4 linked regions of the Oreochromis niloticus genome follow. The protein of the gene in region 2 purifies or fractionates together with the protein of the main gene of each other region. This does not show direct contact. Links are inferred from orthologs where the notes say so. Each region holds a gene or a part of one and is shown on either strand. Other genes may lie near its edges. The genes, in order: prmt1, hnrnpub, rfc4 and ilf2.

What was found.
Region 1: the proteins of hnrnpub (region 2) and prmt1 purify together in Homo sapiens (affinity purification with mass spectrometry; 4 studies listed by BioGRID and IntAct, with this or other methods). This does not show direct contact. The link is inferred for Oreochromis niloticus from reciprocal best matches to the Homo sapiens genes HNRNPU and PRMT1.
Region 3: the proteins of hnrnpub (region 2) and rfc4 fractionate together in Homo sapiens (co-fractionation; 3 studies listed by BioGRID and IntAct, with this or other methods). This does not show direct contact. The link is inferred for Oreochromis niloticus from reciprocal best matches to the Homo sapiens genes HNRNPU and RFC4.
Region 4: the proteins of hnrnpub (region 2) and ilf2 fractionate together in Homo sapiens (co-fractionation; 3 studies listed by BioGRID and IntAct, with this or other methods). This does not show direct contact. The link is inferred for Oreochromis niloticus from reciprocal best matches to the Homo sapiens genes HNRNPU and ILF2.

What each region holds. Positions count from the first base shown.
Region 1 is NC_031969.2:2,252,470-2,259,983, forward strand, and holds the start of prmt1 (protein arginine N-methyltransferase 1), read right to left. Parts: upstream 3,015-7,514; 5' UTR 2,901-3,014; coding exon 2,865-2,900; intron 1,395-2,864; coding exon 1,299-1,394; intron 1,210-1,298; coding exon 1,054-1,209; intron 951-1,053; coding exon 887-950; intron 807-886; coding exon 664-806; intron 1-663. UniProt on the Homo sapiens protein: Arginine methyltransferase that methylates (mono and asymmetric dimethylation) the guanidino nitrogens of arginyl residues present in proteins such as ESR1, histone H2, H3 and H4, FMR1, ILF3, HNRNPA1, HNRNPD, NFATC2IP, SUPT5H, TAF15, EWS, HABP4, SERBP1, RBM15, FOXO1, CHTOP, MAP3K5/ASK1, MICU1 and NPRL2.
Region 2 is NC_031980.2:811,768-819,112, reverse strand, and holds the start of hnrnpub (heterogeneous nuclear ribonucleoprotein Ub), read right to left. Parts: upstream 3,008-7,345; 5' UTR 2,828-3,007; coding exon 2,374-2,827; intron 1,139-2,373; coding exon 1,024-1,138; intron 1-1,023. Other genes in the region: kif26bb (kinesin-like protein KIF26B), read left to right, coding at 5,887-5,949, 6,140-6,496. UniProt on the Homo sapiens protein: DNA- and RNA-binding protein involved in several cellular processes such as nuclear chromatin organization, telomere-length regulation, transcription, mRNA alternative splicing and stability, Xist-mediated transcriptional silencing and mitotic cell progression.
Region 3 is NC_031986.2:29,303,794-29,311,352, reverse strand, and holds the start of rfc4 (replication factor C subunit 4), read left to right. Parts: upstream 1-4,545; 5' UTR 4,546-4,706; intron 4,707-6,003; 5' UTR 6,004-6,008; coding exon 6,009-6,124; intron 6,125-7,148; coding exon 7,149-7,227; intron 7,228-7,559. Other genes in the region: mcf2l2 (guanine nucleotide exchange factor DBS), read right to left, coding at 2,725-2,803. UniProt on the Homo sapiens protein: Subunit of the replication factor C (RFC) complex which acts during elongation of primed DNA templates by DNA polymerases delta and epsilon, and is necessary for ATP-dependent loading of proliferating cell nuclear antigen (PCNA) onto primed DNA.
Region 4 is NC_031985.2:35,583,810-35,590,800, forward strand, and holds the start of ilf2 (interleukin enhancer-binding factor 2 homolog), read right to left. Parts: upstream 3,011-6,991; 5' UTR 2,859-3,010; coding exon 2,854-2,858; intron 2,391-2,853; coding exon 2,331-2,390; intron 1,262-2,330; coding exon 1,219-1,261; intron 1,072-1,218; coding exon 967-1,071; intron 877-966; coding exon 799-876; intron 519-798; coding exon 416-518; intron 1-415. Other genes in the region: uncharacterized protein si:dkey-81h8.1, read right to left, coding at 6,933-6,991. UniProt on the Homo sapiens protein: Chromatin-interacting protein that forms a stable heterodimer with interleukin enhancer-binding factor 3/ILF3 and plays a role in several biological processes including transcription, innate immunity or cell growth.

The sequences.
Region 1 (7,514 bases), on a different chromosome or scaffold from region 2:
TATTATTATTATTCACCTCCGTAGAGCACTTTGCTCTCAGACTGCTGGAATATTAGTGGTTCCTAGGGGGCTTCCCATGATGCATTTCTTCACTCCTTTTCATTTGCCATGTGTTCTTTGCATTTATAAAGTTACTACTGAGCTCTCTTGTCCCGTTTCCACGCCAATATTGCACCATTTCATAATGTTAACATACACTGGGCCATGAAAGGCTGTGGGAACGGTTTACGTCTCTCATTTAAAAAGTTTACAAAGTTAAAGTGATCGTCACGCTCCCTCACACATCTCCAACAAAACTAAGGCTGACACATCCCCACAGCTTAGCCTGGCCCAACTCAAATCCATGTATCTACAGATTTAAGGAGCATCCCAGCGGTGCGATAGGAACAAAGGTTTGAGTGCACACATACATGTAATGCAAAGCAGCGAGACATTACCACAGCCAACACTGTGACTGCACGGTTTACACAAACAGGGACATGCTGTCGCAGCCATCATAGAAAAACCCAACTCACAAGCACACTCACCCTCATATAAGGTGGTACATTAGAACGTATCAAATTTACGTTTTATAGTACAAACGCCCACAGGACTGAAACAGGATTCACGTGTTTGACAGGAGCTCTACTGCTCAAATAAACAGAAGAGCATATGCATACTCACCAGCCATTTGTCCCTGGCATAAATAACTGTATTAAGCATGGACTCATAGAAGAGACAGTAGCCCATCCACTCTGATATGATGATGTCTACTCCATCCACAGGCAGCTCCACCTCTTCCACCTTTCCTTTAATGATGGTCACAACTGGAGACACAAGTAGAGCTCAGTATGCATTTTTAAATATGATCACATGACTGAAATCATGTTGGCTTCTATTTACTCACCATCATCAAGGTTGTTGGCCTTGACAATTTTCACAGCATAGTCAGAGATGCTGCTGCACTCAATCTATGGAGATCAAATACAACAAACAGACACATCAACTATATCAAGGGACCATCGCTAGCTGTGAGTGATGTCATTACCATTGATTGGTGAATAAAACACCTACCCCTATAACCTTCTTGGCTCCAGCTTTGGCGGCAAACATGCAAAGGATACCTGTCCCACTGCCCACATCAAGCACCACCTTGTCCTTAAAAAGGTGCTTGTTGTGGAACATGGAATTGCGGTACGTGAGAGTGCGAACTTCATCCTTCAGCATCTCCTACAGCACAAAAGCAGGATTCATGAATACACACACAAGTTTCCTTGAGTTACTGCTCTAAACACACAGATTACAAACCAGAAAAATACCTCATGAATTCCAAAGTGGGCGTATGAGTCAAAGTAGTAGTCCTTAGATGTCATGTCCTCAGCTGCAGGCTTGGCTGAGCTCTCCCCCTGGGAAACCTCACAGAAGACCAAGATCGTCTCAATTAAACATCATCTTTGCTAAACTCAGACAACCAGCAGCTTTGCTGGCTTCAAACAATTAAATGTATTAATATAGCAACTCTGTTCCAGCCTTACAGGCCTCACCGTCTTTCCACACACACCTGTATCATGTGTTTAACCTCTTTGAATTTTCCAGGGAAACTGCTGAGTTCACTGAACAGCTGATAAGCAGCCAGTGTAAGAGTTTCTTGTTTGTTTCCCATCTTTTAACTGTAAGTAAATGAGGACTGCAGAGGAGGAGGAGGGTCTCCCACCAGGCCGAAGTCCAGGCTGTGTCCCTCTGTTTTCCCTCCCTAGTTCCCACAACAGTATTTTAGGGCACATTAAGATGTGATGTAACCCACAGTTATACTGGGGCCGACCACTTCTTTTCCCCAAACACACCCTACCAGTTAGAACAGGTATAGGCATCATACCACAACCATAAGCATCAATCATCTCTTGCAGGGGGGAAACCCATAACAGGGCTGAAGGCGGCAACAGCCGAATCAGTGATGTCCTATTGTGTACTCCGACAAGATGGCGCTCCACGTGCTTTAGACACGGGAACTGAAAAGACTTTGGTTCCCAGTCCGGCTTCACGGACAGAGTTAAACGGGTTAGAGTTTTTAAAACAGGCTCCACGCTGGGCCAATACACGTGGCCCACTTTAACGTGAACTCCGGCCGCACAAAAGATGGTGGCACATGGCTGAGAAGTCGCGCGCTCTTGGCCTTCCTCGATAACACTGGGTTTCCACGTGCACACCAACTACCTCATCTGTAGTTATCGGCTCGGGCTCAGTACAGCTAGCACGTTTGTTCACCTCTATGAGAGGCAGAACACCTAAAGCTGCCTACAACGTAGTTCTTTATCACCCTGAGGATGCGCTACTAACGCGGCTAGTTCAGCGCTGCTGCTGTCGCCTGTAAACTACATTAAAGGGAAAAGATTATCGCAGAAATCACGTGACATCTGTTAAAGAACAAGTTTATGAATAAACTGTAAGAAAATACCAAGAAAGAGTTCAACTCTGTAGCACAATTAGCTAACGAGTTCAGAAGCTAACACGGTAGCACCCATGCGGTCCACGACAGGTTCGCTCCATCGCCAGCAGCCGGCTGACGCATTAGCTAAAAGGACGACTCTGTTCTTTAACCTTCCAGCGTCAAACAGCCGTGGGGATCAGCCGCAGTACGTGCTTGGTGAAGTGTCGGAGTGGCCTTTCTCGGTCACATATATGTTAGATGAATGAGCGCCAACGGTGCTAAGGCTCTATTAGCCTTAGCCAAGTTAAAATGGATGCATCACTAGCTGGTAGGCATGTGCTAAGTAAAGCTAAAAACATAACCGTGTACGCAATGTCGCACGACTTCATAAAATGACCGCGTGTCGTTACCAAAGATAAATATAAGTGAGGCTTATTTTCACACTATAAGACCTTACCTCCATCCCTTCTGCTGGCGCCGCCATTTCGATCATCTACCCAGAGTAGCTGCGTGGGTCTGTAAGCGTCTCCCTTTGTCCCGCCCACGACGGCCAACGTTTATCTCTGATTGGTGCAGACGACAGGCCCTGCCTCCAAATTAATCCGGTTGTTAAGTGATGACGTAAAACCCTGCTTCCGGGTCCACACTGAACCGCCGTCCATTAAGACTGTTGTGTTTTTAACGTGTTTGAATACTTCCGATCTTTTTAAGTCCCTAAAAATAGGCCGTGATCACTTGGTAACCTTCACTGAATAAATGTGAACTGATGCCAGTGAATGAATGGAAACAATCCTGTATGTGTGGCATCCTTGTTGGAGGATTTCACCCATCATGGTAAAGCACCGCGGTCAAGCCAGCCGCTTCTTATCCGCCGCATAAATTTTCTTGCGCTTCTACACCAGCCTTTACGGCAGCGCCTTTTCTCGTTATTTCCCGATCAAAAGCATAGGCCCACGCACACGTGCGCACGCGCGCACACAAATTGCAATGGGACAGCCCAATACAGCCATCGGGACAGTCTGGTTGTATATTCAAAAATTCATTAAAAATCATTCTTGACAGTTGATGTCCAACTTTCAACACAGTCCTCCTCTGGGACACCTACTGCCCCTCTGGGCTAGGTTTCATCCAGATTTACTGTAATATTCCTCAGAAATTAAATGACATTTATGTTCAATACAATACACTCAATACACTACAATTATGTAATGTTTAAAAAATTAATTACAAATCATCCTTAATAGTTGATGTCCAATTTTCAACACAATCCTCCTCTAGGCCACCTACTGTACCTCTGGGCCACGTTACATCTCAATCCGCTGTAATATTTATCAAAAATTGAAAGAACAATTATATGTCAAGGCTTTCTGTGTGCCTTTCAAAGTGACACTAAATAACAGAACTCAGGCACATCAGGGAATAATCCAAAAGATGGTTTTATTAAACTAAAACAACATACAAAATATCCCTAACCCATACTACATAACCTAAAAAGAAACATAGTGGAAACAAAGGGACACTTAGAAGCACAAGAAAACAATATTATACTGAAAGGGCAAGAGACACAGCCCAGACATAATCCACAACTAAAACTCCAAAAGAACAAGTCATCCCACATAGCAGACAGGTCAAGCCCTGTTTATGTGATGGCATGCCACATCTGGCCCGATTGTGGTTTGGTTGATGTGGCCCTGGCTCATAGAAAACAGGTCTGGCCCAGATCTGGCATCAAGCTGGCACTTCTGACTGACTGGTGTCATGGCAGGGTGTATGTCAACCAGATGTGGGCCAGGTCTGGCAATGATGGCACTATTTATGTTCCTATTTTCCTGTTTTAGTTAGAAGACCCAAATGCCATGTTGCAATACTATACTGCTATGGTAGCCAACGTTTCAAATGCAGGTTTGACAGGTTTGTGAGTGTACACTTTATCCAAAACCTAGTGAGGGTTTACTCATCTTTGCCAGTGGCTGGCTGTAGCTCAGGAGGTAGAGCAGGTTGCCTATTGGTCGGAAGGTTCGATCCCTGGCTCCTCCAGTCTGCATGTCAAGTGTATGAATGTAGTTAGGAAGCACTCAGTTTATACAAAGTGTATGATTGGGTGAATGTGGCATGTTGTATAGAGCACTTTGAGTAATCTGGGAGAGTAGAAAAGCGCTGTGTAAGAATCAGTCCGTTCACTGTCTGAACAGAGTTTCTTCATGTTACTTTTGCACTGTTTTGCATGTTCTGGCACATGTTGTTATTACATGGCTTGATTAAGGTACACATTAGGCTGACATCTGGGGCCAGAGCTGAAACTGTTCTGGGCCAGCACAGGGCCAGCAGTGTGTCTGCAACTGGCCTTGTGCTGGCCCATGTGTGGGCCACATCTGGTAAACCAGATCTGGGCCACCAAAAGGCCGTCATTCTTTGCAGTATGTGGGCCATGTGTAAGCACATTGTGTGGGACAGATCCAGGCCATACCAATTTTGCTATGTGGGATGAATTATGTAAAAATGGAAACATCATAAAACTGAAAATGAACATTAAGTAAAATGTACTGAAATGAACATCAGTATGGCCATCATTATTTAATTGGAAAGTCTAAAGTTCTATGGCTTTGAACAGCCAGAGAACACAATGCCCAGCTTAGTGCGACTAAAGGTAACTTCTTTTAACATTCTGTCATTCTGCTTCTATATCAAAAATCCACTAAAACTAGTGTAAGAGTAGTCATTTGAAAAAAAATGACTAGTTTTAGGGGGCTCTATCCGCCTTAGTGCAGCTGCCGTACCATACTGTGATGCAGTAGGTTAGCAGCCTCTCAATGGACGAGCAGTAGAAGGTCAGCAGCAGGTTGGAGTTCAGCTTGTACTTCCTGAGGACTCTCAGGAAGTGCAGTCGCTGTTGGGCCTTCTTGACATCTGCTGAGATGTTGTCTGTCCAGGAGATGTCAGCAGAGATGAGGATGAGATCTTACAGTCTGGGGCCGGTTTGTGAGAAAGTCCTTTATCCAGGCACATGTGAGAGGAGGGAGGCCAAGAGTGACCAGCTTGGTGATGAGGATGTCCGGGATGATTGAAGGCTGAGCTGTAGTCCACGAAGAGCATTCGGACGTAGCTCTGCCGCTGCTCTAGGTGACTCAGCACAGCGTGGAGGGCTGTGGCGAGGGCGTCTTCTGTGGATCTGTTTGGACGGTATGCAAACTGGTGGGGGTCAAATTCTGGGGGGAGGTAATCCTTGATGTGCTGAAGGACTAGTCTCTCAAAGCATTTCATGATTACCGGTGTGAGGGCCACAGGGCGGTAATCACTCAGGCTGGAGATGGGAGACTTCTTCGGCACTGGGATGATTGTGGCTGATTTTAGACAGGATGGGATGGCTGCCTGATCCAGTGAGAGGTTGAAGATGAGGGTGAAGATGAGGGTGAGCTGGGGGGCACACGCTCTTAGCACCTTGCCAGGTACTCCGTCTGGACCGGCCGCCTTCCTGGGGTTCACTGCTAGGAGCACACGTCTGACATCGTGCTCCGTTATAGTGAGTGGAGCAGTGCAGGAACCAGGTGAGGATGAGGATGGGAGCAGGGCTGAGGCAGATGAATGCTGCTGTTGTGGTGTTTCAAAGCGGGCGAAGAAGCTGTTTATTTCCTCTGCCAGCTGCACACTCAGGTTTTCTGTTTTCGCAGTGCTGCCTCTGTGGTTTATGATGTCTTGTATTCCCTGCCACACCTCCCGTGTGTTGTTGCTGGACAGGTGGGACTCGATGCTTCCTTTATGGTCTGTGTTGGCTTTTTTAATTCCCCTTTTCAGGTCAGCTTGAGCAGCCCTGTACAGAGCTCTGTCACCTGACCTGAAGGCGGCATCACGGGCTTTGAGGAGTGAGCGGACCTCGCTGGTCATCCAGGGTTTTTGGTTTGGGAAAACCCGAATGCTTTTGTCCACAGTCACATTTGCAGTACAGAACTTGATGTAGTCCAGAACTGATCCTGTGAAAGTTTCTAATGCAATATATTATACTTTACCAATGTAACACTGCATGCCAAATCAATTTTGAAAATATCTGTGAATTCTGTATTGAAAAATGCGGGTTTCTTTCAGAATTTATTTTTATGTTATCAAAAATGTATTAAAAGTACAAGCATGAAAAAGTACAAGAATGGAATAAAAAATATAACCAAACAAGCTTAATTTACAGTTTGAAATACAGAACATAATGAAAAGATAGAATTAACTACCTATTAATCCCCATATCCAAGTATCAAAACGAGTAAAAACAAATTACATTCTTTTCTCAGTTTCTATTAATAAGACTTAAATTTACATGAAATTATTGAACATTATATACATTATTCATAAGGAGACAAAGAATTCAGAAACAAGTGAGAGAGTGCAGTGAGTCATGTTTATTCCTGTTCAATATGTGTCTGACACAAGTGGATGAGTTAAAAAGTCTGACAGCAGCAGGAAGGAAAAACCTAGTGTGTCATTCCCTCAGAGAGCAGGGTTGAAGGAATTTGTTGCTGAAAATGCTCTTCGCTTTGTCTAGTGTGTTATGGAGGGGATGAGAGTTGTTGTCCTTGATTGCTAACAGTCTGTCACTGACTACCTCCTCCAGGCTGACAAGCATAACATAAACAACAGACTATACATTCCTGATGACCTTCAGTCTGTTTACATCTTTTTCTATTATGCCTGTATCCCAGCTTGAAGAGTCCTGGACCCTTTTTCTAGTCAGTGGGTGTGTGGGCAGACAACTCTGGCTTGTCATCCAGTTGGATTTCCTGGTATTTGTAAGATGGCACTATCTACAAATCAGGAAACATCAACTATGATATTAAAAAATGACATGATGACATAGTCCTTGGTCAGTTTACCGAGCATTTCTCAGTTTTGTTCTTTATAGTTCTGTTCATCATATCATTGTTTGTGAGTCCTGGATTATTTGATGATATGTTTACATTATGTATTCTTTTGTTTTCAGTTCCATATTACTTTTTAGTGTAGTTCTTCTTCAGTTTCCACAAGTGGATGGAACACTTGTGAAAATACTCTAGTGTTAAAGTCAGTCTTGTCTTCATGTCTGTTTATGGTTTTGTCTGTGTCAAGCTCGTGTGTCTTAATCTGG
Region 2 (7,345 bases):
TGAAAATGCAAATACTGGACATCTGGGGAAAAATGGATCCTTGCACAAAAGTAGTTGGCTGTTCAGGGAAAAGTGATGGAGCAGCAATACTTCGGTGTTCTAATAGTTCTGCCGCCCTGGCCTAAACATTCATGACGAAGGTTCTCCCAAAATAATAATTTTAAAGAAATAAAAAACTTTCACAAAGTTATTCCATTATCTGCCTGTTGACCCTTAGTGCATCGACATCGCAATGAAAACAAAACACTGACCAAGAGGTAGACACACACACACACACACACACACACCATGCATGATGTCACCTAGCAGAGGTAGAAAGAGAACCTTGCAAATGCGCGCGCACACACACACACACCCACACCATGAAAACACAGACACACACACAGGACATGATACATGAGACAGAAATAGCATTTCGACATCATACAACCAGTGAAATAAAAAACAAAACGAAAAAAGAAAAAGAATAGACCACTGCGAGGCGTAACGATGGACGGTCAATAGCGAGCTTCTCCGTGGACGTTCCAAACAGACGTTGGAGTTTTGGGTTTTTTTGCTACCCTGCGGCAGTGGACCCCTTCTTCACAAATCCGAGCTAGTTTCTCCCCACCCACCCACTGAAAATTGCACATCTGCTACGTTCCTCTGGGTTCCCCTTTGAGCAGCCTTGTTTCACCTTGGGGACACAACAGGCTTTCCAAAACAGTACGTGGCATAAGGAACAGGTGTGAGGATTCATAGAGACTTGATAGATGCACTTCTGCTACAGAATGCAGTCCAGTAAAGAAACAGTGTGAGTGGGCACTGTAAAAAGGTAAATGGTAAGGTTCTTTAAGTAGTCAGGGATGACCCTCAAAGCATGTGTGTGAAAATAATGTTACAAGTAGTATAATACTTGAAAAAAATGAGGGTTTTCCTCTTGCTAGTTATGTGCATTGGCACTTAAAGCCAATACAATTCAACAAAGCTATAGATGGCGCTTCAGGGATGCTGAAGGCCATTTTCGCTCTGTCCCATCCTTACCAGCTGTATTTGTTCTCTTCAATAAATTCAAAGTAGCCCCTTCCATGTTCCTCCCGGCGTCTCTTAACACCCTTCTTATTCTTCTGATCAGCATTCGTGTCTTTGTCCGCATCCCCTTTGAAAATAGAACAAAGATATAGAATGAGGTGCTCCTTTTTCTGGGAGAGAGAGGTCGGACTGGCAGTGGGGTTCTGGCCCACAAAGCCCGTTCATTAGTTACATTGTCTGTCGACCATTATCATTTGTATTAAGGTTACTTGGAGGCAACACCTCATAGTTACACTTAAAACAAGACAATCATACTGTGGAAACTGTAACAGCTTTAAAAGACCAGGTAGTAATTACAATATAAGCTGGCCCGTATGAACATTGTGAATGGGGCTGGGTAAACAAGTCTCTAATAAGTAAAGTGTTACTAATCTGCAGTAAAGGGTTTAAAAGATACTGCTTTTGATACAAATCTATTTCATTAAAAGGAGGGCAAATCTACTGCTGCCAGGGACAAATGCATCATGCAGGGAAACGGGGAAGCCTACTTAGACCTTGATTTACACCCCCCTCCCCGCGACACTGCACTGATTTTGCCTAGATTAATAATTTCTATGACCATCCAACACTATCTATAAAAACCACGGGGGAAAAAACCTACCCACGTCCTACCTATACGAGCAGTGCGGCGCCCTTCCTTTTCTCAGCACATCTTGGGATTAGCTAATTCAGATGTTCCCGGCAACCTTTAAAGGCAAACACCCACGACCCCAAGACACGATGTCGGTACAATTAAGGCGGAAAGGGTGGCAAGAAGCCCACTGCAGTGGCCATTTCTAACATTTTGTTTTCACGTCAATCCATTCTAAAATGGGATGTGAAAGCAAATGTTCTCCAACGCCCCCAGCTGGAACACCGGGAACCTCTGAATTAGCTAACCGGTTGAACAGCTAGTTGGCACTGCACAACAGACACAAAGAAACTGACGCTAGCTGGCAAGCTAACACGCTAACCAAACCGAAACTTAAAGCCAGACTAAGCTAAATTCGGTAGCAAATTTCTTAATAGAGTCGCTTTAGTAATTTTAGTCGACTGCTCTCAACATGACGCTAAAGGTCTCTTTAGTAGACTGGACTGTGGCTACTTAAGGTTACGACACGACTGCTAACCAAGCTGCAGACCGGTGCTAACGCTGGCTAGCTTAGTAGTGAGGTCACGCTCTCTCTCTCTCTCTCTCTCAACATGGACGCTCTGCTGTGCGGTAGCGCATTCAAATTTTATAATTTCCTCACCGCTAGCGCTTTCTCAAAAAAACGACACATCCAACCAGCCGCATTTACATAAGCGATTCTGTCGACTCACCCTCGGCAGCCTGCTCTCCCGGCTCACCGTCTTCCGTATCTATTTTTTCCATGTCGTCCACGTCCCCCTTGAGCATGGGGTCCATCTCATCGTCCTCGTCTCCTTCCTCTTCTCCCTCGCCCATTTCTTCGTCCACGGCAACGCCATTGCCGTCGCCTCCACTCTCCGGCTCTTCCTCCTCGTTGGCCTCCATGCTTTCTTCTACGGGGCCTTCTCCCTCCCCCTCTCCTTCTCCTTCTTCCTCCTCTGCCATACCCTCTTGGTCGGCGGCCTGCTCGAAACCGTCATCCGCCTCAGCTGCCTGCTCCTGTGGAGAAGCGAGGGCCTCCTCGTCCAGCGCGGCCTGCAGGCGGTCCATCAGCTCGGCCTTCAGCCCCTTGTCCGAAAGATTACGCTTTTTCAGCTCGTCTTTGAGCTCGTTAACTTTAAGCTTTTTCACGTTAATTGTGCTCATGGTGAATGTTTGACGGCGAACGCGCTAAAATAACACGGGAAATAAATAAATGGACGCCCTTTGTTAACGGATGTAGCTCAAAACTGCGCCAAACGGCACCCGCTGTACAACCAATCCTTTGCCGGCACAGAGCTGTGCTGAGCCTGCGGTGTGGGGGAGGAGTCGTCTCCTACCGTAACTGCCCAGAGAGAGGCGCAGCTTGGTTATGTAGCCTGTGGCCATCTGTCACTGCAGCTAAACGTCCCTTTCAGAAACCATTGTTGTGGAAAAGCGGGGCAGATAGTACGCGAAAAGATGGTTCCAATAAAGAGCGCGAACGGTATTAACTAGTTTATATCATTATTTAACGAAAAAGATTTTACAGAGGGCTGTTTAACCAGGCAGTGAGTTTAAGACAGGCCAGGACAGTAGAGTAAAAGCACGAATAGTTGCGTAATGTGCAACACGAATAATCAGTATCGGTAAGCTAGAAACAATGCAGTACAAAGATCTCTCTCTTCTCGCCCCTTTTTCAATTTTATAAAATCCAAGAAGAGGCACAAATGTGATATTTAACTACGCCGACACATATCTTTCTGAATACACGTTATCGCTCTCCCGTGTAACGAAAGCAGCTGATTACTGTTTAAAATTTATTTTTTGTTATTTCTGTCAACTGTAGATTTTTCAGAGTTGATGTTGAAAATGTTCATGCACTTCTAAACAACACATAACTCCGTGGACTCTTCTGGAAAGCGCTTTGGTGATTTGCCAACTCTTTGTTATACTCATTTAAAGCAGCGCACACCGATTTTTATATAAAGAGCTTCAGTGGCCAAAGCTCAGCCTTGGTTACATCATCGGAGTTACCTTAGGCTTGAGATTTATGTTTTTGCAATAGAAAGTCACATCCAAACTTCTTTTACATTTTGAGAAATGCAGGATCTCGCATTTCTGGACGGATTATCGTCTAAAGTTTGTTACAGTCTTTTTAAAAACTCTTTGTTTTCAGTCTAAAGACGTAAGATGAAGTACCTCTTTGTTTTGATACCTGGCATTGTCAAACTGTTAAGGGCATTACAGTTAGTATCATTAATAAATGGTAAACTGATATTTTTCAAAATGAAAGAAAACTAAATCGTGCCTACGAATCATGTAATAATTAGTTTAGAAGATTGTATCTAAATTAAGCTAATGAGTCAGAGGGGGAAGTTAACCTTCACATAAGACACGGAGAATAACCGCTGTCAAAATAAAACAGGAAACAACTAAGCAAGGAATCACAAACAGATAAGAAGACCGAACAATACACAGCAGGATACAGGGAAGGCTCGATTCACTTAGCGATTTGAATCTAAACACTACTGAACACCACCAAGACTAAACACGCCTTCAATACCAGAACCAAGAGCTCCAAATACCCAAATGCGGGATGCTTACGATGCGTCCCACACAATATGTATATCAATCCACACATCTATATGTAAAATTAATGAAAAATAACAAAATTACTGTAACTGTATTTTGTAGTTTTCAGAATGGTGCACATGTGGAAATAGTTCACCTGGAAAAGTCGCGACTGTACGACTGAAAAAACTTCAGTGAGACAGTTGTTTTTTTAAATGTTGAAATATATTTAAACATTTATGCACATCTGTATTTGGAATTTTATTCAGTGTTTTAGAAACACAAGGTATGTGAATAATTTTATTAAAATACTACCTGGAAATGAGGATTTCCTTTGGGCATTTGCATAAAATGACAAAAATTATACATTATTTAAATCATTTCATCACATCTGCCATCATATTTTCTGAAAATAGCTGCAGAATTACCCATGAACAACAGGTCATGAGGTCATAAACCCTGTTTCAGGGTAAAATCAGTACACCTTTTTGTCAGATCTGACTGGTACTGTACATACAGCTTTTTAGATCCTGGTGATCACTGAAATTAAAGTTCATAATACTTCAGAACAATTGTCCTTCTATATCTTCGGAGGGAACTAGCTTTTCAAGTCCTTGGGTTTCTATCCCGATTGGTTACATTTAAAAAGGTAGTTTGTGTTAACAGATTGAGACACGCTCATTATTAATACCACTACTTAATCCTGTAAATCATAAGTAAACTATGTCAACTGTGAAATAATTGCTGGAAAATTGTTTGGAAAATGTTTATTGAATCTGTTTGAATTGAAACTGTTCTTGGGTTGATGGGGTACTAATTATTTCAATGCATGTGTTTTTTTGGGTTTTTTTTTTTTTTTTTTCCAATTTACTGCTTAATAATATATTGTTCAGTTTATTTAAAAACATGATACATTTGGAGTTACAGGATTAACCTGTAACAACTCAGCTTAGGCAGATGATCTGCTATGGTGACCCCTACAGCAAGCACGCTTCTGTTGCTGGACTTGTTACCCCTCAGATACACACATGACTTTTCTTTGCTCCTTAAAGCACTTAGAGTAAAATAAGTATTAATTAAACACTAACTTATCATGTATTAATGAATTAATAAATACATTTCCGAGACATGGATTTCAGTCATTTGGAAATATTTTTGATATATTTGCAGTTTCTCTTTGACACCATTGCTGCTAAGGTGAAAACAACCACTGTAAGAATAATGTGGATAGATATTTCCGCATGCGCACACGTCTGTTCAGGCATGTTGTCAGACTGTTCCGTTGTAAGAAGGTGCAGTGACATTTGCGGGACAGCGACAGTATGTAGGACATGAATCACATCAAGAAATACAAACACTCAGCCGCCTGCTCCTTTTTCTAAGGTTTCTCCGAGCAGTTGCTCCGTGCTGCCTCCCTGAGGAGCTTATAATAAATAGCTAAGTGACTTCATGAAGTGTTCTCCCGTGCGCTCTCACTCCTTCTCCACTGTGCCACTGCCATCACTCCACCTCTTAGAGACTGTGCCCAGCATTTCAGCTTGTTGTATAGTTTGTTCTTTTAGGCGCTCACGTGAGTGGATATTTTTGCACCACGTCCCCGAGGATTGGCAACAATAAACAGAAAATGCCCCCCGCCTTTGTTCGGATATCTTTTTAAATATTTACAAGTTGTCATGTCATCTCTGACTGGAAGAGGAGGAGAGGGGTTTCCAGCCTCGATCAGAGGAGGACTCTGGGTAAGTCAGATTTGTTCGTTTTGGGCAAAATTTGTTAGCATTTGTGGGGGTTTAGAGTTTCTTGAGAGTACTGTTGCACTAGAAAAAACAAAACATTAGGGTGTGGTTACAGTAGCCCAAGTCGATTGATATTTAATTTCCCCCTGCCAAAGCCCACATACATCCTTATTTATCATGATTTATTTCTCAGAGCACAGAAGTGCAGCATCACTTTGAGCCCGCCGGCTTTTCCGCAGGGAAGGACCGCCAGTCCAAGGAGCGCCCCTCTCCTGTGGGTGCCGGAGGGTCCAGGGGCGACCCATATGGGAATATGTGCCAGAGAGCAGACGATGTCCCGTCTTACAAGTCCCTCCCTGGATCTGTAGGAGACCGCATTCGGACTACCATGTCCTTCAGGACTATATGTAGAGGAGGCTCCATGTCGGCGAATCCCGGCTTTGGGAGGTCCGATCGGAAAGTTGTGCGTTGCGAGAAGTGCTCAGCGACCCTTGTTGCTCTGAAGAAACAAGCCCTTAGCCTGGCTGTTCACCATCACTTCTCCTACAAGGTCAGTGACAATGATGCTGTGATGGAAAGGGGGTTCATGTGGCATGCATGCTTTCGAAGCAGTCTATATAATTACAGTAATAATATCGTGTTTGGACTCAACAGACAACACGTAACTGAAATGAAATATGAAGCTGAATGCATATGGATGCTTCTCAGCAGGTGCTACTGGTGTATATTTGTTACAGTAATTAAAAAAATGCACATTCATATTTTTTGTTTTTTGATGCAATTCAATGACAAAAGTATTCACAAACTTGCTTTTCCCCCTCAAATAACCCCTTTGGGCATGAATATTGTGAATTGAAAGAATAAATAAGAATAAATATGCATGAAAAATGTTAAAAGCAGACTTTGTGAATCACAATATACTAAATGACGGAATAAATAAAGGCTCTTGCTACCAAATATTTACTGGATTTTATTGTCTTTTATGATATTTTAGTGAGAGTCTGTAAGATTGGGACAGCGTGGACCGATAAACTCCAATACACATGCTCTGAAAGCATTTTATGACACTTATGTCACACAGAAGCATAACTGGAAGTTCCTTTTGAGGCATATAGTGGTGATGCTTAACAAGTGTTCTAAGGCTCATGTGGGACCTTCAGTGCAGCCTTTTAGAAGCGTGCACGTCTGCACATTCATCACCGCCAAAATCCATCATTTGGACTCCGAACGCCAAAGTAAACCAGTGACATTCCTGCGCCAGTGGTTTTAAATGTCCATGAATATTTCATGGCGACATCCCTGTGTCATCTCCACAGTCCTCTCCATTGAGGGAAGGCTATTTATTTTTGTCCTCTTAAGTGGGATGGGGCGTGTCATGTTTTTAGAGACCACAGGGAGA
Region 3 (7,559 bases), on a different chromosome or scaffold from region 2:
TTGTTGTGTTTAACTAATTAAGAGAGAATGCTTGAAGTACTGCAACAACATTAATGTGTAGGTTCCTATAAAGTGGGCTTCTCTTTAAATGCTGTTCCTATAAAACTACTCGTTAGCACATTGTGTTTAATAGACTGTGAAATGAAGTACAATTATAGATTAAGTTGTCATCCATTCAGTTTCTGATTCTCTGCATTAGTATGCTTTTGGTTGTGGTTGAATAGTGGAAAAAAAATGACCACCAACATTTTTTGGTAATCACTTTCACTTGACCCTGATGAGAAATATTATAAAGTCATAGAAATGATGGCGATTTCATAGTAACTTTGAAATCCAGTGCTCAGGAAATTCAACTGCACTTATGCTTAAAAAGTGCATTCTGTTAACATGGGTCTGCTGTGGTGAAAGTACAAAGTCCTGTAGATGAATTCCAAATAGGTGCATCTTAGATAACATGCTTTTTATGCAACACTGGAATATAGCAGCCTACCAGTCGTAACAGTGAAAAGCTGTACTAGGAAAAATTGCCTCACCTAGCCATCGACTCATACTTTACCTTCCCGCTGAAGAGGTGATTCACTTTAAGTCTTGCCTTTATTAAAGCTTCAGCATCTCCCAAGTAATTTTGTTAAGTAGCACAATGCTCATTTAGCTGTCAGTTAAACAAATTATTGAAAGAAGTATAAATGCATATTAGGCCGTTGCAGTATGGAAAAGAAAAACCTGCAGTAATTTACATGATAATCTGTGTCGCTTGAGTGTAATGTTAAAAGTTTGTTTTCATGAGCTCTTAATGCATATTTGAACTGTGGGAGAGCAATATTTTCTCACCTTTCATAAAGGATGGTTCAATGTATCCAGTGCTAAAGGGGACCATACATGAAGCAATGCAGCACGTTTACTTAATTAGAGAATTCATCCAGCTCTTATTATTGTTCCCACACAGTTGCTTCCAGCTTCATGTCACTCACTTAGGAACCTTCTCAAGTAAACTGACTGTTAAACTGCAGCCTTTGAGCCCATCCGAGCTGTCACTGGACACACACTGATACTGGTCATCCATCGCAAAGCTAACATTGATAGACAGGCAATTATTCACACATTCACACTTTTGTCAGTTTAGGATCACTGATTAACCGACACGCATAGGAGGAAACTGGAGTACTTGGAGAGAATCCATGCAGTTTTTGTTCTTTTTTAAAATATATATTCCTTTTATTTGCCTCTAAAAAGTGGGGTTAGGGTTACTTGTAATCATCAATCACAGAGAGAAAAGCCCTTTAACTGGACATCCAATATTTGTTATGAAAATTCTGTATTGTATAACTTTAAGACTGAACTGAAAGGACTGAAGTATTAGAAAGAAATATAATAATGCACAAATTTTATTCATAACAAATTGACCTGCGGGATTTTAATTTTTTAAGTAGCTGCATAGACATACATAGATCATTGATGGTTGGGTCTGTGTATTCATGATGTGCAGACATAAATCAGTTCACAGAGTCATATTGTAGTTTCATGTCATTCTTTTTTGGACTGAAACAAGTCACACTACTGTAAATCAAGTAACTTCAGAGTGCAGACTTAAAATGAAGTTACAATCAAGTTAGCATGAGACCAATATCAATAGTTTCTTAATTATATAATGTGTATAACAGGTTCTTTTAAAAACAGGTGAAGAATATAACAATATCCAGTTAAATTAACACCTTTACAGAATCATCTGTGCTGCAAACACTGGTGGCAGCATACTGAGCGAGCATGATTTCCAGTAAATTAATTCAGAGCCAGTTTCCATAGTAACACTCTTCACAGGCTGCCCTCCGCCCCCCTACCCATCATTCTCTTAGCTACTGTGCAGTGCAGGCAGTGCAGCAATGGAGAATACTGTGCAATGCAACCATCTCCAGCGTGGCACATTAACCTACTTCCACACCAGAAACAACCCGGATGCGGAATTAGAGAGCAGGAGGTTGAAAAATGATTGATGAATGAGGAGAGGAAAGCAAAGAGAAAAGACGTCTGGAAAAAAGGGCTTGAGAGGACCGAACAGCATGGAAAGCAGAATGAAGGACACACAGAGGAGAGAGAAAGGACGAACTCGGGATGGAAAAGCAGTGATTACTATGAGAGAAGGGCAAAGAGGAAAGATGGAAATAAAAGGCACAAAGAAAAAGCAGATAGAGTAAAGGTAACAAGACAGAAACTTAAATGGACAATATCAATGGAAGACTGAATATGTATCATCATTATTCATATTAAAACAAGAAAATAAGATCCTGGTCTCAGTAATATTTACTCACATCAAAGGAAACAGTTAATGTATGCCAGTGAAATTGAGAATGAATTGAAAGATCAATTTAAAAAATGTTGATTGCTGCTGAAAATCACAACTGAACCCAATGACTTCTCTGCTACACTCTTTGGCCCATGTTCCTTCTTGCTCATCGCATCCCTCTTCACTCAGTGGTCCTGATGAGAGGATGGAAATTCCCTGCCTCCATTTCATTTGCCCTGCTTCCTAATCACAAGTCAAAGATTTATAGATAAAGATCTTTCAGCACAATGAGGGTATATTCCAAGAGGCGGGCTCTCCTCAGAATTTCCCGTGAGAGGATACCGTTTAAAACATCTGCTCCTCTTATTCTAATTAATCCACCTGAGAGTGAAACATGAACAGACAGACAAGGGGGGAAACTGAGAAGATATACGATGACTTACCGACATGAGTGATGACACACTCGACCCTCTGTAGCAGCTCCTGAACCGACATCTCGTCCTCTCTCAGCCAGCACAGCATCTCAGGGTGTGGGTTGCATCCACTCTTCCCTTGATCTCTCTTCGTCTCACTCTCTCTCTCTGCTGCCACGCCTCCTCTTGTCACCCTTCCACCCCAGACAGTCTCCCCTGCTTTTGCTCCCTAATCCAATTTTCTCCCCTGAGATTTGTGTCTCCCTTTTTTCCCTCGTATATGTTGATTCTTATTTATATTCCAAGTCCTTCCTCACATTTATCACCATCACAGACAGCCACAAAGCCTGGGGATAATGATAATGTTGATGCCACTCCCAGCCACTTAGCTAAATAGTAAGTCTACATATAAAATAACCACGCTGCTAGTAAGGCACATATAAAATAACAAAAAAAAAAAAATACCCAGTTAGGGTTGATAAAATAGAAAATACAATAGCTTAGTCAACTGAACAATGAGCAAGATAATCTGTCAGTCAGTGTTCAGTGAAAAACAATGGCAAGGTAACTCTTAAGCAATTAAACAATAAAAGCCAGAGCAAGTCAAGCAGAAAGACAACAAAATAGACAATTTGTTTGTCACCCTATCAGTCAGAAAACTGTGCCAATAGTAAAAAATAAAACTGCATTTTCAGAAAATTTGCAAGTAAAAACATCCAATTATTAATCAGCCATCCAGACAGTGATAGAGCCAACCGTTCCTTGTCATGATGCTCCAAGCCCCAACTGAAAACCAGAAAAATCCTCATAGAACAAAGTAAATATTTACAGCGCACCTAAACTAGGAAAAGACAGAATGCTCCTCAGCCAGGGGAGATAGTTGAGTCCACTCCATTGATAGGGAAACTCCTCAAGCTTGATGGGCAGGAAATCAGTGGTGCTGCTGCTTTGATGATGCTCTATTTGCTCTCATAAAGAAGCTGAGTCACACAGAGGGAAAACGAATCAGAAGGCTGCTTCACCTGCCTGCAGGGCGGAGGGAGAGAGACAGAGCTGGCTGAGGGTGGGGTGGGGGTTAATAGGTCCAAGAGAGAAATCCTGGTGCCTGGAGCTGGACTGTAGGAGTGGAGCCTCAGGAACACACAATGATTATCAAATTAAACATAAAAAAAAAAAAATTATATATATTCTTTTTTTGTTGAATATGTGGGAAAATAACATAAAATAACATAAAACATTTTTAAAACCCTACATATTTAGCCATCTGATTTAATCATCATCACGCAAGAGCACAAACAAAACAAATCATTCATGCTTTCACTTCATTTGGTGCTACTAAAGCCACTCTGCTAATCCAGCTCCACATTTTGCCTGAACCAAACAATGTAAGGGGCTCTAGCATCTCTCCATGGCCCTGTATGCTCCTGGGACTGTCTATTAGCCGGAGACATCTGTGCTCTTGCTACTCATTCATCTTCTCTCTGCAGGCAATCACAGGCCGTACAACAGAAACAGCCAAGATCAATGGCCCATCAACTGGCAGACAAAACAAAGCACATAATCCTGTATTTCTTAGGAACATGACTACACAGTGTTTGTTTTTGTCAGATGAAATCATTAAATATAAACTATCGGATTATTTATTTGTTTATTTGTCTAAAATTTAACAGTTTAGAATATAAGCGGAAATATTGCGTATGAACAAACCAAACGAAAATAACAGGAAATTATGAAGGCTACAGAATGAAGAGGAGACAAAAAAGCCCCTCTCCCCCAAAAGGAGAAAGGGCTGGGAGGAGACGTGACTAAGGAAACAAGCGGCGTCCGCACCATATGATTGGAAATTACACAATGACGTCGACGGAAGTGTCTTCGGCTGCTAGCGCGGGAATACTCACTGACGCTGTTGAAGACACGGAGTTAAGCAGACAGGGGTCGAGTCAGCTGCCAGAATTATTATTACTAGAACTGCAGTTTTAGATATTCATTCACTCCGACCTTGGAATTGTTAGGTAAGACTTCTAAAGCGGTTCATGTTTATGAAAAAAGACACAAGGTGGCCCTTTGGAGTTAACAACGGGGCTAATGTTATTAGCTCATAGTAAGCACAGTGGCTAACTCACCTAGCCTCGTTAGCTGCCATGATAAGTTGTGCTATAATGCTAAAAACAGTGCCAAAGAGGACCGCATGTACCATTAGCATTTAATGTTCAGGGAGACAGTGTGGAAAACTTTCTTTAAGTGTTTACTAACCGCAGCTAACATGGGCTACACACTAGTGATGTCTGGGTCAAGCTATCTCTGCTGTTCAAAGTAAACTCCTACCATTACTTTCTCATTATCGAGCTACATAACGAACACAGTTCTGTCTGTTGTGATGTTAAATTTCTTAAGTGCCGCTCTTGCATCCCAACGTTTCGATGTCAAATTTTAACTTTTACTGTCCAACGAATGAAATAAGGCTGGACGTTAACGTTGAAAATGATCGTTATGTCTTTTTCCTCCAGTCGTTCAACCATTCTTTAAATGATCTATTAACTGATGCTTGTGCATATCAGGTCTAAAATGTATGGAATGTTCAGTACAATAGAGCGATCTTTCTGAGGCGTGCCTCTTCTTCTTTTGGCTGCACTCTTTAGGGGTCGCCACAGTGGATAATGTGCCTCCATCTCGCCCTACTCCTAGCATCCTTCTCTGTCACTTCAACTCTGCATGTCCTCCCACACTACATCAATGAACCTTCTCTATGTTCTTCCTTGTTTCCTCCTTTCTGCCAGCTCCATTTTCAGCATCCTTTGTCCTAGATATCCACTGTCTCTGCACTTGTCCAAACTGTTGTCAGCCTTGGCCCTCTCTCTAACTTTGGCTCCAACACTACTCCGTAATCAGTGGTTAGGAGATGGTGACACTAACAAAAGACAGCAGGCTAAGCTGGAGGTGGAGCTAAAGATGCTTTGATTTTCTTGAAAGTTACCTTAGAAGTTTAAGGTATATGCACCCCTTATTTATAATAAGGGGTGCATATATGATGTAGATCATAATTGGTTTGATAATTTGGATTTCAATTATTCTGGCGTGTTATGGTTTACTTGTTAGGTGACTTATCTTTGAATATTGCAACTTTCATGAGACTAGCTTGATTAAACAAGGCATTAACAGCTACATATGGATATCATGGTACAGGAAGATGGAATTCAGCACAGTACTGGACATTTGTTTGATCTTTGTTTCCAAAATATTGTTACAACCTACCTCTGTATAATTATGATATAATAATTATAGTGTGTGCATTTTGTATGTTCATTTTAGTAGTCATGCAAGCCTTTTTGAAAGGAGCAACAGTTCAGGCAGCCAGGCCTCAGAAAGACAAGGCAGTGGTTGGACCCAGTGCAGAGAAGAAAGCAAAGGCTGTTCCTTGGGTAGAAAAATAGTAAGTATGACCCACAAAGGTGTACTGTACACTACATCTGATTAACTATACAGATTTACAGCAACCTCAAGAATCCTTCGGGACAAAACTTTTAACCGCCTTTTAACCGGGGGGCTGTTCAGTATTGCCATAAAAATACAATATATATGTATATATTTTTTTTAGTCTTGGGGTTGATTTACAGAAATGTTTAATCTGTAAAATGCATAATGAATAATAGCATCATGTGTCTCATTTTTACATTTTGATCATCTTTTGATGTCACAGTGAAATTCAGGATTGTTTCTTGACTCAAGATGATTATTAAATCCCCCAAAAATGGAACACATATTTTGCATGTAAGTGCATTGGAGGGTGACCACAGAGCTACAAATACAACAGTTGGACGTGCCTTTTTTTCCTTCCCTATTTTTACATGAATTTCTGGTCCTCATATATAATTTTGTGAAAATTTCTGTAGCAGCTTTTAACTGACTGCCATTACATCACAAATTTATTATTTATATATTTATTTAATGTTCTGATGCAGTGCACTATCATCCTAATATATTTTATTCTATCAGTTATTGTGTAATAGATAGTTACACTACAGTATTTTAACCTGGTTCTGTCTTTGTGATCTTTTTTTATTTGTGTTCTTCTCTCCTTGTAATTTCGTTCAGCAATGCTTCTGTGATATGTTGACTAAGGACAATAAAAGAATCTAAAGTCATATTTTTGTAAAACTTTTGTAAAACACACAATTATCACCTAATAGATTTTCAAATTATGATATAAGGTCATATTTTTTATTTTAGAGGAAAGACGATGTGAAATGTAATGGATTGTGAGTCATGTTATTGACTTTCAGATTTTTTTTTAATTTAACAAATATTTCACGGTGATGCGGTTAAAAGTGCTTCTGTTTTGTTGTTGCACAGTTCTCTGGAGTCTATATATAATCTGTATCCTGTGCTGATATTGAAGCTTGCAAGGTACTCAAACCAGATTTTTTTTTTTTTTCTCTTTCTTCAATGAACTCCAGCAGGCCAAAGTGTGTTGATGAGGTGGCCTTTCAGGAGGAGGTTGTAGCGGTGTTGAAGAAGTCTCTGGAAGGAGCAGATGTAAGTAACATTTGGTTGTTCTTTTTTTATAGCCTCGGCTGCATTACTGCATTTGGTTTGATAACAATGAAAATGCCGTACACTCTGGTTTTTGGTCCCTTTAATCTTTTGATTCAGAACACAGCCTTTCAAGATCATAATGTGGAGGGTTGTTTTGGGTGGAAGTGGACAGTAAACATTTCCCTTATCTGACAGAAAACTTTAGTCAGCAGACTTCCGTCACCTGATGGGAGATGAGTGTGTTTTTGTTCTCGTGCATGTACCACGTATACCGTAAGAATGTTTTCAAACTTGTGTCAGATTGCTTTGTCACAATGTAGCAGTGTATTGTC
Region 4 (6,991 bases), on a different chromosome or scaffold from region 2:
TTAATAACTGCAAACAAGTTGCCAAATTATCCAAGTGACAAGAAGCAGCACAACGTACAGCATCAAAAAGGCTTAGAAATGATGTCTGTGAAGGTTCTCAGTCATCCAGGTCATCGTAGTTTAAGGAGCTTGGAAAGAAAAGCGTCTGGACTTCTTTAGGTTCTGAAGCTTCTTCAGTTCTAAGAAAAATTGGTGGAGAGTCTCAGATTTGAAACCTTATTTGGGAGCGTCATGGAAAATCTGGGACTCTCTGCCAATTTCTCTTAGAACTGAAGAAGCTTCTCAGATGAAACGTCTTCAAGAAACCTAAAGAAGTCCAGATGCTTTTCTTTCCGAGCTTCTTAGGCTTAGAAATGATGTGTGCTGGAGCAGCAACTTCTCTTTAGACAGTGTAATTGTGCCATATATTACTCACATGTAGGGAGAATCTTGAGGATTACGACCAGGTCAGCAACATTATGTCCTGTCGTCATGGTGCCCTTCTTGTAGGAACCCACCTGACGCACCTCTTCAATTTGCTACAAGTCGACAAGTACAAGATTACTGACATGAAAGACATTATTATTAATTAGCTTATAATATAAATATGAAATCTGTCCAATGAAAATGAAGCTGTATAGTCCACAAAGCACTGTTACTGGATACTTCTAACTGTATTCAAGTGATTCAGTGTTGTTTCTAAACAGTCTTGAGTTTCAGTTCAGCTCTGAGAGAACAGCTGACACACACACCAGTGACACAAGCAGCGTGTGCACTTCACTGAAGCCATTACGACTCATTCACTCATGTTCGACTCACCACTTCAAAGTTGCCAGGTGCAACAATCAGGTTGTCGATCACATTGTTGATCTTTGTGACCAGGGACAGGATGGAAGACTGACGGACAACGAACAAGGTTTGTGTAAGTGAAATGAAACAGCAGGTCAGTTCCATTACTGCTGAATGAGTGCAGGCTCACGGACTGACCTGCTCTGCAGGGGTGGGGCTCAGATCCTGGTTCCTTTTCAGCAGACACTCACTGAAAGCCGTCTCATCAGGTGCAGGCTTCACTCTGGGGAAGGCCATCTCACACTTGTGACAAACAACAGTCTGCTTGAGTACTTGCATTGCTCCTTTAGAACCACTCTACACTTTCATTATACACTGACTGCTGGCTGACGTCTTGCTGCTTTGTAATTTGGTGAAAAGTTTCTAATTCATACCACCACACATACTTACCACATAAAAATCGAATGGAATGTGTGGGACAAATGGCCGGTACCTAAACAAAAATAAAGTTTTGTCAGATTTGGTTAAACAACATTGCAGTTCCAGGGTCTGTATTTCAGTGGTTACACAGCAGTGTTAGTGGTTTTCATTCCAGTTACCGGGGTTGGCAGTGTTAAAGCACAACATTGAAGGCAAGATTTCACAGTTGTTCTGTTGTCTGAGAACAGGACACAAAAATATGAAGCATAGTGATTTCAGCATTTACATTCTGACACATTGAGGTCTGCTTCTCTGTAGTGGAATAAGCAGAGGGACAGGAGCACAGTACAGCGTGTGTGTGTTGACTGGTGCTGTTGGAGCAACAGTATGTGGGACTGCAGAGACGCAAACAGGAACCCAGACGAGTTCAGCTGCAGTGAAGCACATAAATGCCGCACACAGTACTTTTATGGTGGTTATGAGTCGTCCCTGAAAGTGTCTACGGTTCAGGTTCTTTCCCCTAAATAATAATTTCCCCTAAGGATCAATAAAGTATTCTGATTCTGATTCCTCAGCATTACAGCACTACAGCACTCTAAGCTGGTACTATACTATAAAAATGTATTGTGTTATGTAGGGAACAAAAGCAGTTAGGTTAACAGCAAAACATGAAAGTGTGCTGACAGAACGCTGGCAGTCAGATTTTCATAGCTCACACGTTACATCATCATAAAAACAAATGTTCATGAGATCTTTAAAGAGCGCCTCGTTGCACTGTCACGGCTAAATGATAAAAGCTGATTCACGGCAAAACAAATGTTATTTTATTACTTGTGAATTTTTATTGGAAATTGAGAAATTTCTAAAAATGATTTATTTCATCCACAGATGTCGGAGTTTTGCTTACACCCGTGTAGCCTTATGGGTACTGTCACTTCACACTGCCAGCAACATTTATGAGGCCTTGGAGCGAGCTGGACTTTGTGAATGAAGTCGTGGTGACCTGTGTTTTATGGACAAAACACCTGGCACCACAAAGAGAGTAATATTCCCTACATAACGTGTAAATGGGGCTTAGCGCTCGAACGACGAACCAAGACATTACTGAAAATCAGCCAACACATCTGGGCTGGTGAACTCACCCCTGGACCAGTCCTCCGCGGGCCCCGAAGCGGCCGCCTCGGCCTCTGCCGCGGTCTCCTCTGGACACAAACACAACACAGCTGACGTTAGTGCGTGCACAAACCACGTTTGGCGACTGAGCCAACGTGTAATGATGTTGTGATGTAATGACTTAATGTAGAGAAACCAATGCACTACATCAGCGCTGCTTCACTGAGCCAAAGCACATTTGTTTCATTTAGCTTTCCAGCAGGGTAGCTATTAGCCAACGGGATGGTTGCTAACATATGTCTACTATTGTAGCCTTCCCTACACCGAGGAAGCTCCTGCTACACGCTGCTCGGACGTTTGGATTCATTGAAGGAAAAAAAGGAAAGCAGCGAGCTTTCAGACAATACACGCCACTGGCTTTAAATTACGAAGGCAGTAACTGGCTCTATCAGGCACTCAGAGCTAGCTTGTAGCACAGGTACGAGGTAAGAATTCAAAGACTTGATAGTACTCGACTTAAAACACATTGCCCAACGAGCTACACTCGGATACCTCATTGCGTACGACGTTTTGATTATTGTACGTGGAAAATCTCAGAGAATTGTTGAACGTCCCTCTGTGGACCGGCTTCTCGGTGCTGCCTGTTAGTCGTCGACTTCTTCTGTTACAATGGGCGGCACACTAAGCTCAATACTGCCCTCCACAGGACATTTTTAGAATCTCACTGCGGCTGGGATTCTAACAATGTAGACCTAATATTATGTAAATCCAAGCATAACTGCCAAATTAAGTTTAAACTTCATGACCTCACTTTGGCCCTAAAACTGTCAAAAAGGACTGATTGGTGTTTAGGAGAGGTTTCGACTCCTTATAAAGGAGCATCAGATGTGCCCCCACCAGCTTTTTCCTGTCTGTGCTTACAGCCTCTACAGCCTGAGGTTTGCTTTGCTTGCTTTGTGATCTGTTGTCTTGCTGTTCTGTGTAATGTGATGTACTGTTTTGCTGTTCATATGACTCTGTTTAATAAACTGTTTCCAGAATTTTAATCTTTTCTAGAGGATCTTTTTGATTATAATGGGATCTAAAAAGCAGGATCTGGACATCATTGGCTGGAGAAGGTTTTCAAGTTGGCTTCAAAATTTGTGACCTGACAAGTCCAACATCACCTAAACCACTGCCGGAGAATCTTATGCTTTCCTCCAGCGCACAGCAGAACAAAACCGCCAGTTCACTGACTGGATGAGGTCCCTAGCCCAACAGTATGTGGAAGGCAAGAAAGTCTGGTTCCTCGAAGGACAGTCCTCTCAAATGCATGTCAAAGAAACCACATTACTTGGGACTGCTTTTCATTGAAGAAATCATTAACTCTGTGGCTGTGTGCCTCAAATTGCTGACATCCATGAGAATGCATTCCATGTATATCAGTTGAAGCTAGTATCTTCCAACCAGTTGTGACTCCAGTGTCAAATATCCATGTCAAATATCCTTGGGCAAGATAGTGACCCCAAGTTCGTCTCTGACACATCCACTGGAGTATGAATGTGTGTGAATGTTATATAAACAGAACTTACATATACATATAGAAAAAGTACATGTATGAATTGGTGTGAATGAGGCAAATTAAAAGCACTTTGAGAGCTCAGAGTTGAAAGTGCTAAATAATAACCAGTCCATTTACCATTTAATGTTCCTTAGTGAGCTGTCCAGTTGTCATGGAACTGAAGATGTTCAAATATTCATTCTTTTTAGCCTTTGAAAACCTCTGTTGCGACTTACTTATATTTTTTTCAAATGAATATTTTGTGTCTGGCTCACTTTCTGTAATGTATGCAGAAATTGTTCATTCTTGCAGCTTTGTAAAGTGACATATCAAATATCACTTTCATATGTAAAGTTATTACAAGAAAAGATGAGATGGAGTTTCAATTACAAACTCTGTGTAAGCAGTAATCTTATCAAAATAAAGCTTACACCTGTGAGACTTCATCAGAGGTGCAAATATTACAGTGGAGGCTTTTGTGCCAAAGTAACTCAACACAGAAAAATGCCTAAATGTGTTTTGTATTTTATAGCATTTCACCCCTTTGAAAATATGCTGCAGTAGACAATAAACTCCAAAAAACCATGAATGGATATTACCTGTGCAAAGACTGATGCTGCTCAAGTGAAATGTCCCTGCTCTGAGGCATTGTGGGAAATGGAGTTATTCAGTTAATGCAATTTAATTGCGCTGGATTTAAGTTTTGGAAGCAAGACAGCAAAGGTAAGACAGAATTCATGCTAATGTTTTCTAAGCATGAATGTTTTCTAAGGCGGAGCCAGGATGTCATGTTACGGCTGTGTGCAGACAGGAATAGGACCCAAGGTGCAGACTCCGGAGACAAAACGGTGAACTCAAAACAGCTTTATTGCTGAACAAAGAAAATCTACAAAACCTAAACTGAAAAGAATCTAACAAAACACACACAGGGAGCCACAGGGAGATACACACAGCATGAGGGACGACGCGACACTGACTCAAAGAAACACAGGGTTTAAGTACACAGAGGGAGCAATCAGGGAATGGGCAACAGGAGGGAAACACAGCTGGGGCAAATCAGGACTAACGAGACAAGGAGAGCAAAACCAGATACACTAACATGAGAAATGGACTTACAAAGTAAAACAGGAAACATAACACAGACTCTCAGGCAGGCATTATAACAAAGGGAACAAAGACGTGGGACCAGGGCAGACACAGACACTGACTGGACGTGGGGATACAGCAAACAGGGGAGACAGCAACTCAGAATAACAGACAGAAAACCAGAACACTAAAACTCTAACAGAACCCACCCAGAGAACCCAAACTAAGAATAATCCAAAAACCCAAAAAGCAAAACTAGAATATAATGAAGTAACAAACTCAAAGAACCAAAACACAAACCACTGGGTCGATGACCCAGGGATCCTAACACAGGAAGGTGTCAGTGAGGGGGCCAGGATGGATCTGTAATCATTTCGGGTTGGCAGACAGGTTTCACATAAATACACGGCTATTTAAGCACATAAACCACAGACCTGTACAATATTTGGAATGCAGGTAGTAGTGGAGAAGATAAAATAATATTTGGTATAGCAAACTTTTTTTCCCATATTTGTGTGGATCAAGTAACAACGAAGCTCACGCTGTACTAATGTGGCCCAGTTTACAGATTATTCTGAGTAATACTGCTAAATTATTACTGAATGCACCTTGAATCTTTACTGAGGTGCTGAGTTAAATGTCACTTTTTAGTTAATTTTCTAATTTTTAATTATATTCCACATATTAATGCAATAAATTTAATGTTGGTCATATTATTGTTACATTATATCACAAAAGTATGATGGACACTAGTCTCATAAACTACATTAGCTAACCTGAACTTTATTCACTGTCTAGCTTGTTTGTTTTTTTTACCATAAGCAACATTCAGCTCTCTGCACAAACATGAAATTAATTACACATAATCACACAAAGCTAAAACAAAGCTTGACTTTATTTAGCAGAATTGAATGTGGCCTTATGTGTGCATGCTAAGGAAGATTCACAATGATCTAAAAATTATATAGAAAAAAAAGACAAGGCTGTGGTTAATATTCCATTAATATACAATCTGTAGACTCGACAGAACAACCCCGCTTTGGATTCAGCAGATTTGTGCTAAAAAAAAAAATCATTAGTAACAATTCAACATTTCAAGCTAAGCTTTAGAGAGCGATTTATCTGTGCAGCAGTAATTTTATTTTCAGTGAGATTAAAGTTTTCATACATTCATTTACAATTAATTCTATATTATAGTGGTTTGAACAAAGAATGACAACAGGACTAAGAAGCCATACATGAAAGCAGTGTCAGATAGGTTTGATCTGCTAAAATAACTGTGGAGATACACATATGTGTCCTGTGGATTTAACGACTTGAGTTCCAACTGCTCGGATTTTATGAAAACCTCATCTTTGTCCCTAATTTGCCAAAAACAATAAACAATGATGAGAACAGCATTATGACCGTTATATTTTTAGAGATATTTCTCTCTTTGAGTTCTCATTGGAGAACATTTCAGTGCATAAGTAAGTAAGAGGCTTACACGTCAGCAGCTGATGAGAGAAACCCTGAGTTACAAGCAGGATGAGAGTGCTGGGGCAGTCGAACACAGTATTACTGACAGTGGGCTAAAATCGCTGCTTTTATAATATCGACCAATTCTGTTCTTTATATTTCACAACTTTATTAATCTACTAAGTCATGTAGCGTTTTGATATTGATAGAAGTATAAATGGCATACTACGGCGCAGTAATGCTGTGTAAATGATGAATTACTCACTTGTTAATACCTTAATAAGGCTTAATAGTGTGACATTATTATAAAGTGCTACCATGTCAACATTAGTAATAAAACTGTTCCATTTCACAACTACACCATAGTATACTGTAGGGACAGCAGCACTAACACTGATGCTGTGATCAAACATGCCAGAAACTTGTTAAACATTCACATTTATTTTCCAAACGCATAACATACGGAATATGGCTTCCCTGTTGACACTCAGATGTAAGCTGTCTCTTGTGACTGACATGACACCACTGTGAGCTCTGTGTGCTGAGTTCAGGGTTCTGTGGTTTCTATTGGCTCCACCTGGGGTTCAGTGGGTGGGGTGGAGATGT